Linked DNA regions of Oryzias latipes. The protein of the gene in region 1 interacts with the protein of each later gene in a biochemical or structural test. Links are inferred from orthologs where the notes say so. Each region holds a gene or a part of one and is shown on either strand. Other genes may lie near its edges. The genes, in order: ehmt2, lig1 and chromobox protein homolog 3.

Evidence for each region.
Region 2: of the proteins of ehmt2 (region 1) and lig1, one has a biochemical effect on the other in vitro, tested with the Homo sapiens proteins (3 studies listed by BioGRID). The link is inferred for Oryzias latipes from reciprocal best matches to the Homo sapiens genes EHMT2 and LIG1.
Region 3: the proteins of ehmt2 (region 1) and chromobox protein homolog 3 are reported together in a solved structure, tested with the Homo sapiens proteins (2 studies listed by BioGRID, with this or other methods). The link is inferred for Oryzias latipes from reciprocal best matches to the Homo sapiens genes EHMT2 and CBX3.

What each region holds. Positions count from the first base shown.
Region 1 is NC_019869.2:5,427,790-5,431,810, forward strand, and holds part of ehmt2 (histone-lysine N-methyltransferase EHMT2), read right to left. Parts: intron 3,988-4,021; coding exon 3,918-3,987; intron 3,816-3,917; coding exon 3,657-3,815; intron 2,921-3,656; coding exon 2,679-2,920; intron 2,581-2,678; coding exon 2,502-2,580; intron 2,416-2,501; coding exon 2,342-2,415; intron 2,257-2,341; coding exon 2,131-2,256; intron 2,027-2,130; coding exon 1,976-2,026; intron 757-1,975; coding exon 642-756; intron 36-641; coding exon 1-35. UniProt on the Homo sapiens protein: Histone methyltransferase that specifically mono- and dimethylates 'Lys-9' of histone H3 (H3K9me1 and H3K9me2, respectively) in euchromatin.
Region 2 is NC_019875.2:2,524,620-2,529,416, reverse strand, and holds the start of lig1 (DNA ligase 1), read right to left. Parts: upstream 3,221-4,797; 5' UTR 3,066-3,220; coding exon 3,049-3,065; intron 2,570-3,048; coding exon 2,501-2,569; intron 1-2,500. Other genes in the region: ETS domain-containing transcription factor ERF-like, read right to left, coding at 4,043-4,326.
Region 3 is NC_019869.2:11,215,026-11,219,731, reverse strand, and holds the start of chromobox protein homolog 3, read right to left. Parts: upstream 3,054-4,706; 5' UTR 2,922-3,053; intron 2,250-2,921; 5' UTR 2,242-2,249; coding exon 2,096-2,241; intron 1,432-2,095; coding exon 1,275-1,431; intron 1,176-1,274; coding exon 1,081-1,175; intron 423-1,080; coding exon 296-422; 3' UTR 1-295.

The DNA.
Region 1 (4,021 bases):
CAAAGGAACCTCGGTGTATTCGTCTGCTTGTTCTTCTGAAGACCAACAGAAGAGCAGAGCAGTCAGGAGATATGAGAGGATCAACACAACAATAATTCCTACAGTAAAATCATTTATCCTCTCCTTTTAATGCAAAACAGTTGTGCATCTTGAAGATATTTTTTTAAGATTTGTTTAAAAACAGTGTTTTTAACATGTTCTTGTGGCATTTTTTTCTCATAATGGGGACACATTTAATGAAAATTAAGTATTTCTTCATTTGAATCGTTGTGAAACAGGAGCAGACGGAAAAAAAAGTCTCTGATTTGAATCAGGATCATAGTTTGAAGTAGAAAATGTACTGGGCGGGCTCCCAGCTCTCAGCAACGGGGAGGAGAAGGGAAGGGGGGCGGCGTTGCTCCGTGCTGACAGTCCCGCCCACAACTCAGAGGTAAATTTTTGATGAATTATCTCCAAAAAGCAGCCAAATTATAATTAAAAGACCACTGGGAACACTTTGACAATTAATCAAAAGATGATTGCAGTGGGACTTTATAGCCTTGGTGGAACTTAAGTTTCACTTTAATAACGTTCTTTATGGTCCATAAGCACAAACAACAGGACTGATTATGAAACCGCGCTGCGCAGAAAAGACCACTCACCGTCCTCCATCTCCACCAAGTCAACCGAGCTTCTCTTTTTGTCTCGACCTGACAGTAACCACGAAGACTCTTCGCCCTCATTCAAGACGGTTTTTGGTGTTTCCGACTCCAAACGCTGAAAATCACAAGTTATTTAAGTAGATAAACGCACACTGGCATGCATTATCATTATCATTCTGCTCCCCTGGACTAAGTCTAACAGCTCCTGGTTTTTACTTCAATGGGTTGTGGAACTAAAGTTTAAAAGTTTGCAGTTTGACACTGAAATATCTTTCAAAATAAAGATTTGATGGTGTAAATTTGTTCCATCATTGGTGGGAAACCTGAAAAAAATTAAGAAAGGGTCAAAAACTAATTTGACTACTCAACCAATCCTAACGCTCCTCTAGAGTCATCAAATATCTTGATGTAAAGACAAACTGGAAATCTGAAATGTAAAAGATTTTTTGAAACTTAAATAAAAAAATTACAATCAATAACTCCGAAATTTTTCATCAGAAGTCTTTCTGGTTTCTGGATTTTCACGTTTTCTACACTTTTTTTGTGTTTATGGCAGACTGTTAGGGTTTATGATTCTGAATTTACCATTGTCATCAAACAACAATAAATAAAACAGATATGATGACCGTGAACCATCAATTAGATCCCCTTACTATGGAGCCTTGGACATAAAAAAAAGATAAATTATTCCCCCAAGTCAATCGTTAGTAGCCACAAATGAGTATTTTATTAGCATGTTGTGAGTGCGAACTACTAATATGTGACCACATGTTAATACAATGATAAGTTGTGACCATGTAGTACTAATTTGTGAGCACAAAATACTCATTTGTGATGAAAAAAAACTAAGTTGTGCCCAAAAAAATACAAATTTTTGACCATTAAGTATTAATTAGTGCCAACAAAACATTAATTAGTTCCAACAAAACACTAATGTGTGAGCTCAAAATACTAATTATTGCCCACTAAATACTAATATGTGACTACTGAATACTGATTTGTGAGCACAAAATACTAACTTGTAAGCACAAAATACTCATATGTGACTACAAAATACTTGTTTGAAAACACAAAATACTAGTTTGTAAGAAAGAAAATACTATAATGTGACACAAAGTGCTAACAAAATAAAATATTTAATGGCCACAAAGTACTATTTTGTGCACACAAATACAAATTGGTGCACCCAAAATACTAGTTGTCACAAATTATTAATTTGAGAGAATAATTGTTTTATGTTGTTTTCAGTGCTCTATTCCTTTCAGCTGTTGCAATTTGTAAATGTTGCATTAAAAACACAACTGTTTGCATTTTTTGAGTTTAAATTTACTCACGTGATCCTCCGTGTCATTAGCGCGCTCACTCGCATCGACGCCGTTTTGAAACTGATCAAAACGAAAAGGACAAAAGTTAATTTTTATAAAAACAGAGAAACCAGATGTTTAATTAAAAGGACGAGGTTTTAGGAGAATGCATCAAAGCTTCACACGTTTCCAGAATCTTGTGCTGATGAAGTGGAGCTCTGGCTCTGTTCTCCTTCATCCCTGGTCTTCCTCACGCAGCTTTTGCTTTTCGCCAAAGCAGTTTCCACCTTTTTATGAAACAACGTCTCCTCCTGCATTTCAAATCGACAATACACGTCAACCCACCAATAAAAACGGAGACTTTTACTTAAGGAAGGGGGAAAACCACTAACTTACAGTTGGAGAATAATCTGGAATGTTTTCACAGCTGCTGCCTGATACATGACCCAGCTTCCTCTTTTTTAAGGCCACTATAAACATAAAGAAACATGAATGTAATGAAACAGGTGGGTTTATTTTAACTCAAGGTAAACCAAAGCTTTTAAATGTTACTGACAGCTTTCGGGCTCAGAGGTGAGGCAGGGCGATCCTGACGGGGTCTGGGATGCTGAAGCAACTTCACCAGACCCAGTGTTCTAAAAAAGAAAAACATGAAACAAACAAACAAAAAAAAAGTCACAAAAATGTTTACTAAAAAGCAGCTATTTAAACCAACTCTTCAGTCTTCTTTTACCAGCCCAAACGGGGGTCTGTTCATGGTCTTGCGGGCCCGGTGGATCTTAGGTGGGCTGGGAGAAACAGACGGGGAGACAGACGTCGAGGCGGCGAAGGGAGGAGAGGATGGAGCAAGTGGAGGAGAGGATTTACTCCCGGTGGGGACACAAACGCTCATCTTTGCTCGGCCAGGGGACAACGTTAAAGGTGCGGAGGACGCCAGTGATGAAGAGGCAGAGGTAGGAGACTTGGCTTCGTGTCCTGTGAGACAAATGAGAAAAGCTTTTATCGATGACAAAATCCAACAATTGTATATTCTTGTTTTAGAGTAATGAACGATGCACTAACAAAAGAGCACTTTGTATAAATGTTACTGTATCTGTCACAGTATCCATCTAGTGTATATAACTCCTAAATGCCTGTTGATGCAAAAACACATTGAACCACTTCTGCTCCAAAATTTCTTTAATTTAGCATCAGCTTGAAAGCAGAAAAAAATATTAAACTTTTTAATAGCTGGAAATAAATTCAGGCATGAAGGGGATAATACATAAAAAAGCCACATGAATTTTATTTCAATGTATTCAATGATTGAATATTAATCCCATAAAGAGGCTAAAATATAAAATTTGGGTTCAAAATCAAGTTCACAGCCTGATAACTTTATCATTACAGGTTTTTGGGGGCCTTTTATAGATTTTTTTGTCAACCTTTTTTTTCTGGACATTTTGATTATTTTTCATTTTGAATAGAAAAAATAATACAGATTAAGCTAATTTCATTTCATTAATTTTCTTTTAGAAGTGAACAATTTGCTTTAGTAATTAAGCAGAATTCAGCATCATCTATGACCAGTTTTTCAGATTCACATATACACTTGGACAGGAAATGCAAGTTTTTGACCAAGTTACATAAATTCCTTTAGATCTATTTTCCAGATAAAAGAAATTACCGATTTACAAGGACCAGGTGAAATCAGGAGGAAGCGTATTCTCACCTGCTGCAGGTTTATTTGATGGTGCATGGATCAGAGTATCTTCATCCTCTGCAACACTGCCACCCTCACTCTGTGTTTGCTGGCATGACAGCGGTGACTGCACCGCCTCAGTGGGCATCGCTTTCTCAGCATCATCAGGCGTGGGGAGGTCTTCATCGTCTGGTATGCACACAAGCATGAGCCATAAAAGAAGAACAGTCACACACAGAAAATCTTAAACATGAATTTTATAAAGTGAAATCATCAAAGTTCCAAACCTACCTTGGCTTACTTGACTTGGTTTTGCTATTGGCTTGTTGGATGTTTCTGTATCAACATTTTTTGAGTCATCCTATCAAAGAAAAGACCAGTAAAGAGATTTTCAG
Region 2 (4,797 bases), on another chromosome or scaffold:
CGTTTTAAAAGGGAATTTCTGAGCATTTCAGGACGCTGTGACCGTCCAGGTCAACAGATTTTTACACAAGAGGCTTCCAATCGCATACCAGATGGGGTTTTACTCCTTTTACCTCCAGACTAATGATGAAGACTAAACTTGGATGGTAGATGTCTTTGTTTTATTTTAAAAGCCGTTTGAGGAACATCAGCACCAAAACACCTGAGACATTTACTGCATTTGATTGGGAAAAGTTTGCATTAAACGTTAATGTCAGCAACATTTCTACATGTGTTTTTTTTAGTTAGACTACAAATTTCTCCACTTTAAGTAAAGAAAAAAGGAAGATTCAATAAACCTTTGTGACTTTCATAGTATAAATCGGGTTTTGTCTGTGATTTTAGGTGAAGTCGGTTAAAAAAATTCTACAATAGAACAGCAACAACAAAAAGTCACACAGGTAAGGTTGTACTGAGAAAATGATCCCAACAAAAGAGAAGGCTAACAAGGTGGATATGTAAAGGTTAAAAATAGACCAAAACAGCCAATTGTACTCCTAAAGGTTAAAGTAAACTTCCTCCTAAAGTTAAGGATGCTCCTCTTATTTTTTTGTATTTGGATGGAGGTTAAGACAGTGAACAGTGAGGTGGGATTTTAACCCCACGGCACTGGCTAAAACGCCTCATTGCACAGATTCTATCTGCAAACAGCAGAAGCAAGTAACCTGTTATACACACAGCTTTACCTGGAACTCACTTCATCATCACTAAGAATAAAAGTCAGATCCAGAAATGCTTTTTCATTTTCAAAATAAAGCTGCATTTGTTGACTCAAAATGAAAAATCAATCCTTCAAAATGCTTTTTCATTTCTACTTAAAAACCGCTCATTCTGTGTCATAATTAAAACTAAAATGCAAAGAGAGGATTGCATTTTCATTTTCACATCCACCCTGCGAACATTGTCACATTATTCAATTTGTCTTAGCATTTCCAGGGGGGAGGCGGGGCGATGACGTCAGTGCGTGTTGGTTCAACCAGCAAACACCAAAAGTTTAGCCTGGTGAAATCTACTAGAGCTGTTCATGGGGCTGCAGCTGTCATTCAACAGCAAAAATAGTGGGAAGCTGCAGGAGACGATCTTCTAAATGTGCTTTTATTACAGTTATGATTATTATTAAGGGCCTGTTGCTCGCTCATATTTTTAAATCTGTGCAGTCAGTGCTTTTTTCTTGGTTGCAGGGACCTGGAAGACGGGTTAGCATTAGGCTAATATGTGCTAAAAACATTACCGTGGAGGAACTCCAAACTCTGAAAGAGGACAGACAGAGACAGCACTGACACCATCGCCCCGCCTCCCCCCTGGAAATGCTGACTGGAAATGAATAATATGACAATGTTTGCAGGGTGGATGTGAAAATGAAAATGCAATCCTCTCTTTGCATTTTAGTTTTAATTATGACACAGAATGAGCGGTTTTTAAGTAGAAATGAAAAAGCATTTTGAAGGATTGATTTTTTATTTTCATTTTGAGTCATTTGATGCAGCTGCATTTAGTAAAATGAAAAAGCATTTCTGTGAATCCATTTTAATTGTCAAATTATACATTTCTAAATGAATTTTACCAGAGAACTTTTTGAAAATGAAATGTCAAATTTATTATCATTTTAATTAAGTGACAGAATAAGCAGTGTTGAAGAAGAAAAAGTAGCTTGGCAGATTTCTTTTTAATTTTGAGTCAACAAATGCAGCTTCATTTTGAAAATGAAAAAGCATTTCTTGTATAGACTTTTATTTTTAGTTATGCTACACAAATGCTTCCATACTAATTGACACACACTGACGGCAGCAGTGAAGATGAGATTCAAACCAAAGAAGAGATGAATAAGAAAGACGGATTTATCCAAAAGACGGTAATGATCAACCAAGTCCAATGATTTAGAGAGGTCCAAGAAGATGGTGGCTGTGCACAGGTTATTACCATAGTGTGAATAAACGTTATTGGTAAATCTCATAAGAGCACTAGTTGTGTTAAAGTGTTTTCTGAATCCTGACTGGTGGAGAAAGGAGGTCATTTGAAGCAAGAACGTTGGATAAATGAGTAAAAATAGTTCTTTGAAAAACTTTAGAATCATTGTTGATCACTGAAATGGGACGATAGTTATTTAAGTTTTGGTCATGGAATGACTTTGGCGCATTTCCATGCAAGTGAAACACAAATAGATATTAGATTATATTAGATTAGATTAGATTAAAAAGATCAGCAAGTGGAGTCAGGATAAAGCAGAAGATGCTAATTTGATTAAAGTAGCCTCAATAAAAATACATTAATTTACAAAACTTTTATTCTTCAAAATAAATGACACTATTTTAGTTTGCTCTGTTTTCTTCTCATGATAACAATGTAATCATTTCCCATGCTTTGTTTAGTTTGCTTTACTACATGGAAACATTTTCATTTTTCAAATGTATTCATAGCAGAAGAGAAATGACGTCATCATGTTATTTCATAGGAAAACTTACTTTTTCACTGGCTCGTCGATCGCCTTCTTCTGAATGTCCTTATCTTTGCTCTTTGGCTGGAAAAATGATCTAATAGGGGAAAATAGTAAACATGTTATAAATGGATGACGTCACTTACCAGAGAAACGGCTAAGAGCTGCAACAAATGCTACTGAGTGTGACGTCCATGTAAACGTTAGCCAAAAAAAATGTACAGCTTCTCTGGCGTAATCAAGATAGTCCCGATTAACACACGATAAACGCTACAGGATAGTAGTTTTTTTTATAACGACAAACGTTCGTTTATAAGCCAAAAGGCAGAACTAATAACACATTCAAAGTATTTCCTGCAAAGGATAATCATGCTAGGGCTAGCTTAAAGTTAGTAAAGCATGCTAGCTCAATAAGGAAGCGCGTTCAATAAGAAATACCAAACTGTTTCACAAACTTCATTCAAGCACATTTTTATCTTAAAACATGTTGGTTCTCAGCCGAGAGCAGAAACATAAACACGCCTAGAAGTAGTTCACGGAGTTCAACAGAAGCAGACCATTTGCTTGTTTACTTACGCAATGCTTCGCTGCATGTTGTCTCTCAGAAATTCTTTCACTTGAACTTCACGATGAACAAAAACTACAAGTTAAGGTGTGGACAAACCCTAAATCCACACAAAAACACACAAACTCCCGCGCTACAGAATCACAAAACTCACTTGGAATATTCGGCGCCAAAATCACATTTTAATCAAAGATCAACAAAATATGAAGAGGTATTACTCCTCCACATACACATTATTCAGATTTTTCGTTGTGTAAATGATCTAATTTAAAGAATTACATTAAATCATCAATAAAACAGGCTCCCATTACTGTAACAGAACAAATTCTTAAATACATCAAATTCGTAAATTTGACAAAAATTATACACTTTGTGCGCGTGTCACACTATCCGACACGGGATTGTTGACACAAAAAGGTCACTAAAATAGTTTATAAAATATTAGCAGCTAAAAAAAAGTATTTTAAAAAAGAGAATACATGTGATGGTGTAGGATACTGAATAATATTGTAGGAAGCAAACATTTATTTTTAAAGTATAAAGAATTTATTTTAAAGAAAGAAAATCAGAGTGAGATGTCTTTTTTTGTTCAGCTTTTCCCGGCAAATGCTCTAAGGAAAAACTTTACCATATAAATTCTTACTGCCCTCTGGTGTCCCGGAGATGTAACTGCATGCAGCAGGCAGAGATGATCAGAGACGATAAAAAGAAATTCCTGCATCATTTATGCAGCTCCTGTCATGTTCACGACATTTAAACAAGGGCGGTGAATTATCAGACAAAATAGTTGGATAGTGTAAGCTGAGTGTGCAGTTTTATTTGGCCCACCCAAACACCCAAACAAGCACACAAATACACAACCTGCCTATGCATGTATGAATAAAATGGAGAATCTTTCAACTGAATAAATAGCTACAAAGATTGTACATTTGCAATCACAAACACAGAAGAAGAAGAATAAAAAAAAACATAAGTTTGAAAGATGTCCAGTTCCATAACTCCTTCTTATTCTTTCTCCTTTTCCACTCTCTGATCTTCCCTCTGATTTTCCGTCAGCTTATCTGCTCCAGACAGGCCCTGCTGGATGTGGGGGCTCACGTCCCACCCTGTAGCGCCCCTCGGAGGCCACAAGTTAGCAATAAAGTTCGATTCCCGTGGCTCATCCCGGCTGACCCCTGGGCGCGCAGACGAGGAGATGAAGGGAAACGTGCCGTGGAGGGCTCGAGGAGCTGCGATCGGTTTGGGAAGGGGGCACGGGAGTAAGAAGGGGTGAGGCAGAGGCTGGACAGCTGTAAGAGGGCAGAATGGGGGGGAAAAAATCAATAGCTCAAAGGGCAATTGTTCATTGCACCCCTAAAAGAAGCTGCCAGCTACCACAGAGGTGTCAGGGGGAGGCAGAGACGATAATTATGTTGAATCTCTTTTTTCACAAAGCAGATCAAAAAATAGCTCAGTCAGAGTAAAATAAGTGATTCTTAAGGCAACAACTGACACAGGAAGTGTTTTAATGGATAATTGATTAAAAAATTAGAAAACAAAGATAGATTTCCTACGTTTATGCTCAGCCTTTAAAATTCTTGAAAAGTCCAGTTTATTTTGAGTTGATTTAAAGTCATAGAAACGTCATAAAACAGGTCTCTATTCTCCCTTCTGCTATTCATCTTGACGACACAGTCAGCTGGTGATTTAAATGTATTCTAATCAAAGAAAGACAACAGTAACGTCTGTAGTTTCAGGTTATTTTAGTCTTTCGTATCACT
Region 3 (4,706 bases), about 5.8 Mb from region 1:
GCAGGCACTAAAACTGTTAACAATTAGAGTTGTTATGACATGTATGACACTTAGTGGTCCTTAATATGAGATACTTTGGAAGACTTCAATGATCATACATTGCAAAACCTTTGACAGCTCAAAAAGCTTTGAACCAGTATATACAACCTTAAAGCTCATTGAAAACCACACAAGCGTAAAAAAAAAAAAAATCTATGTAATTCATGTAACTAGAAGGATAAGGCAGGAAACAGGAGCACAGAACGTCCTGAGAAAGGAGCAGAGGTAATGCAAAGAACAGCACAAACTACAACAGTTACTGAGCTTCATCTTCTGGACAGGAATGCCACGTCAGTCGCTCCTCATAGAAGGATATGACTACCTGAGGGCAGCGAGTGTTGGCTTCACGGGCCGGGACCAAATCCGCTTCGTCGGAGTCTTTCCTGTAAAAAATTAAACAGCGTTACACAAATGGAAAAAAAAAACATTCAACATAAAACTACTTTAAAAAAATTAGTCATATGATATTCCACAATAAATAACATCTTTCCACAATGTTTCTTTTGTGAACCAACCAATGAAGTTAAGAGAAAATGTGAACAACGTTCAAACTAGAAGTTTTCATTCTGGGCCAAATTGTACTGCTCACCTAAAACAAGTTTTACATTAACCCCTCCCTATGCTGTGGTTTATCTATCGCTGCTTCAAATTTTTATAAATATCTTTGCATGTTTATTTTGATTGCCCTCTGGATCCTGATTGGTTGATGACCATGTCATCCATCTCCTCCCTCCCATGTCTCCTGTACAAATGCGTTTAGCTTGCCCATTACAAACATCTTCCATTGTGACCAGATTTTTGTCTGCTTTCTAAAATATTGGACTTATTGTCTTATTTGAGAGTTTAAACAAGAGAGAAAAGTGTGAAAATGTTTGTTTGTCTGAGAAAAGTGTATAAAGTGTGTAGTGAGGAGTTTTACAATGATAATCCTATGAACCAGATTTTAAAGTGGGATGTTTATCTTATAATTTTTTTCATTTCATAAACATCTTTTAAAGGTTCTGTCTAGTAGACAGTCAGAGACATTCTATAAAAATGTACCATTTCATCAGAAACATTAACTCCCCGCTACTGTCAGTTGCTCCAATAATTCGCTCTGGCTCCAGGTTTCTGGCAAAGCCACGTGGTTTCTCAGCCTAAAGTGGAAGCACATGAACATTCAGAAAACAGTTTTAAAATGGAAGAATGACTAATTAGAACTGAGCTCAAAGTACTGCAATGACATTGTGACATACCATGTCTTTCTTCTTGGGCTCTGTCTCTGGCTCATCTGTGGAGGCTTTCCTTTTAACAGCAGCAGGCTTCTCCTTAATATTCTTTTGTGATTCCAAAAATGCAGAAATCAGCTCAGGACAGTCCAGGTTCTCCTCCGGCTCCCAGGTGTTGTCAGCACTAAATAGTTAAGAGGGCTGTGATCAATTGCATATAAATCATGACTTTTAAAAAAAATGTAAAGCTAACAGGATGCGGAGAACACTAGCAGCTTCATGCAAAAATGACTTTACTACATGTTCAGAACAATCTGAAACCAATCAGATCCAAATGATCTGGGTTATCAAGTGATCAGGGCAATCTGGTGTTCTTTAAAAAATAACAAGACTGGTCAAGTTATGAGAAAATTGTCTAAAGCATATAATCTGGTGTCTTCTTGCATGTAAATGAACTATTTGTAATTTTGGTTTACGTTATATGGGTAGTTACAGCGTGAGTGGAAAACAAAGAAAAAGGGCAGATGCTTGCCACATTCGAGCCAATTGTCTTGTTCTTTTCCTGAAGTATTCAGCCCATTTTGTATACCCATAAGCCAGAAGGAAAATCGAGGCCAAAAATTTGGCTAATTTTAGCTAAATGAAAGCTCAAGTTAAAGGAGGGGGAGGGGTCAAATTAAGAATCATAGTATAAATGTACAAAAACTTTAAAATTGGATCTAAGGCTCATGCTAATCTATTGTAAATGTCTGATTCCTTAACCACATAAAAATGTGGTAACAGAGTAAACAGGCCAACCCCCCTTCCCCATTCTAAAGAACTAGCTGGAGAGGCTCCAGTTAACTCACTCTGTAAATCCTTTCCACTTCAAGTAGAACTCTACTTTCCCATTGACGAGACGCTGGTCGAGTACTTTTTCCACAACAAATTCTTCTGGCTCTTCCTGCGTGTCCTGTGAGTCCTTCTTACTCTTTGTATTCTGCTTCTTGCCCATTCTGGCCTCTAAAACCAAGAGGAAGGAGAGTCAATTGCCGATGTATCACGCAACTGCCCTTTTCCACTTCACCTGTAGGACCCACATTTAGCAGAAAGGCTTGTACCGTAAATATAAAGGTGTACAGCATGTGTGTGTTTAGTTTTTCCAACTTTTTACGACGGACGCGACTCGGCCACGTTCACTCCGCAAGTTTTCCGTAAATGGTACTAGCGTCCTTTGGGTTAGCCAACATGCTAACGTAGCCAAAACAGTTTGAGGCCATGGTACCATTGTTTATATCTTTTTACTAAAAAGGAACATCAACATGCTACAAAAACGTGTTTTCTTTAGATCTTACCTTAACGCCTCAAATAATTACAACAATACAGCAATATCGACACCCAACAAAAAAACGAAAGATTGTTCGTGCTAGTGTTAAGTTAATAGCAATAGCAAAACGAGACAATCAACAGTCTAAAACTAAAAGTATACTATTCATACAACACTCGGGCTTGATAAACTTAAAAAGCTTGAGCTGTGAAGAGTCAAATACAAATTCTGTTCGGTTCATTGCATTCATTTCTATGATGAAGAAGTTAGCTTAAATTACTCCTTACGTCTTAGTTATTTAAGAAAAAAAGTTCAAAAACAAAGAGATGAGATGCAGCATTTAATACCGGTAAACGTAGCTTACATACCTTGTAAAGCCTAGAAAATGACCTCGGTGACGACTTATTCAACCACGCGGTCACTGCCTGTCTTTATGTACAGATGAAGAAAGGAGGGTGCGCGCCAAACGCAAAAGGCGAGTAGGCTACGGAAGCCCGTAAGGAAACAATTTGCTTTAGAGCACTTGTGACTCTACGGTGTCCTGTTAGTTTATTTTTACGTCATTTATTTTTTCTCAGTTTATATAACGGTTTATCTCACAATCTTTAAAATATGTTTTTTCATTTTAAATGAAAAATGAGAATACACGAGTAAAGCTTTGCAGCATGTTTAAAACATTGACACATTTCTATCGTTTTCACTAATAAAGGAACAGCTTATAGTTGTTTTTGTGTTTTAAATATTCTGTATGTCTTGAGTTTTTTTGATATTGACGCTTACAAATGACTTCTGAGCTAAAATAAACTCGTGTTACTAAAGAATACTACAAAAAATGTTTATTTTATGCAAACCAACTTACCTGCTATAGAATGATCTACAGAATTTGGGTGCATAGAATCCTAATAATAAAGCCCTAAATAAAATAACAAATACACAAAACAATATTGTGTCAGTGCAGTTGTATTGATTGAGTGTGAAAAAAATTAAGTATCAGTGTTTAAAGCTGTGAAAATTATTTACTGTCTCAATGTGATTATCAAATGTAAAGTGATTCATTTTCAGTAATCTTTACTTGATAAATATAAGGTTGTCTGTTAAATTTAGTTACACTAAAGCAATACCTTTGCTATAAGTGTGAAGGCGAAATAAAATGATCTGTGCTTCAGTCTACACTTTTGCAATCCAAATGTTTCTATTTTTTTATTTTTATTTGCAATAGTGAACAATATCTTCTACACCAAGTGAACCGAGTTAGTAAAAAATTCTCTGCTAGAAAAATTGTAATTTTGTCAAAATGTCTTCTTTACCATTTTTGACAATACCAAATAACTACAGCACTGGCCAAATGGTGTGATTTGAGTTGTACTTGGATTAATAATAATAATAAAAACTTAAAGCACTAGCAAAGTACTTAAGTTAGGAGAAAGACATTCACCCCACTTTAAAAAATGCTTAGACTTAAAGGTACACATAAAATGTGAACAATAATCTTATATTTATCAGAAAAAACAACAAGAATGCCACTTTCTTTTTTTATTCAGAGTAAACAAATCCCCCAAAAGCGCCTAAATTCTTCAAGAAAAACCATACTATCAGCAATCAACAAGCAAACAATCAAAAAACAAGAAAGACACACATTTGCGAAACTTAGAGACAGAAAAGTAAACTTTAAGCTAAACCAGGAAAAGAAAAATGTCACTTCATGCACTCCACAATTATTTCACACACTTGGCTGACTTTGTAAAGCTGTGAACCCATAGTTTTCATAGCAATCCCTTTGCATAATGACAAATATTTAAAGGGTTACATCTTGCCTTGCTGATAGATTTTTTAAGTAACTGGACAGCTTATCTGTTTGGGGTCACAGTAATAATGAATATTTTATTATACAAGTACACTTAAGTTCACCAAACCTTTCAAATTAGTCAAAAAGGGATTAGGAAAAAAAAATAAACCTGAGGTAGAATTTCATTTAAAAAAATGGAAAAGGTTTTTGAAATGTAAGTTTAAATAAATCAAGTGGAAAACTTGGGAGTATTTTTTTTATCCTGAAGTAAACAGATATGTAGCAATGTGCTCACACAGGAAATGGCAGAAACAGATAGAAATGTCACAGAAAGCACATGAAACCAAATCAACAACATTTAAACCGA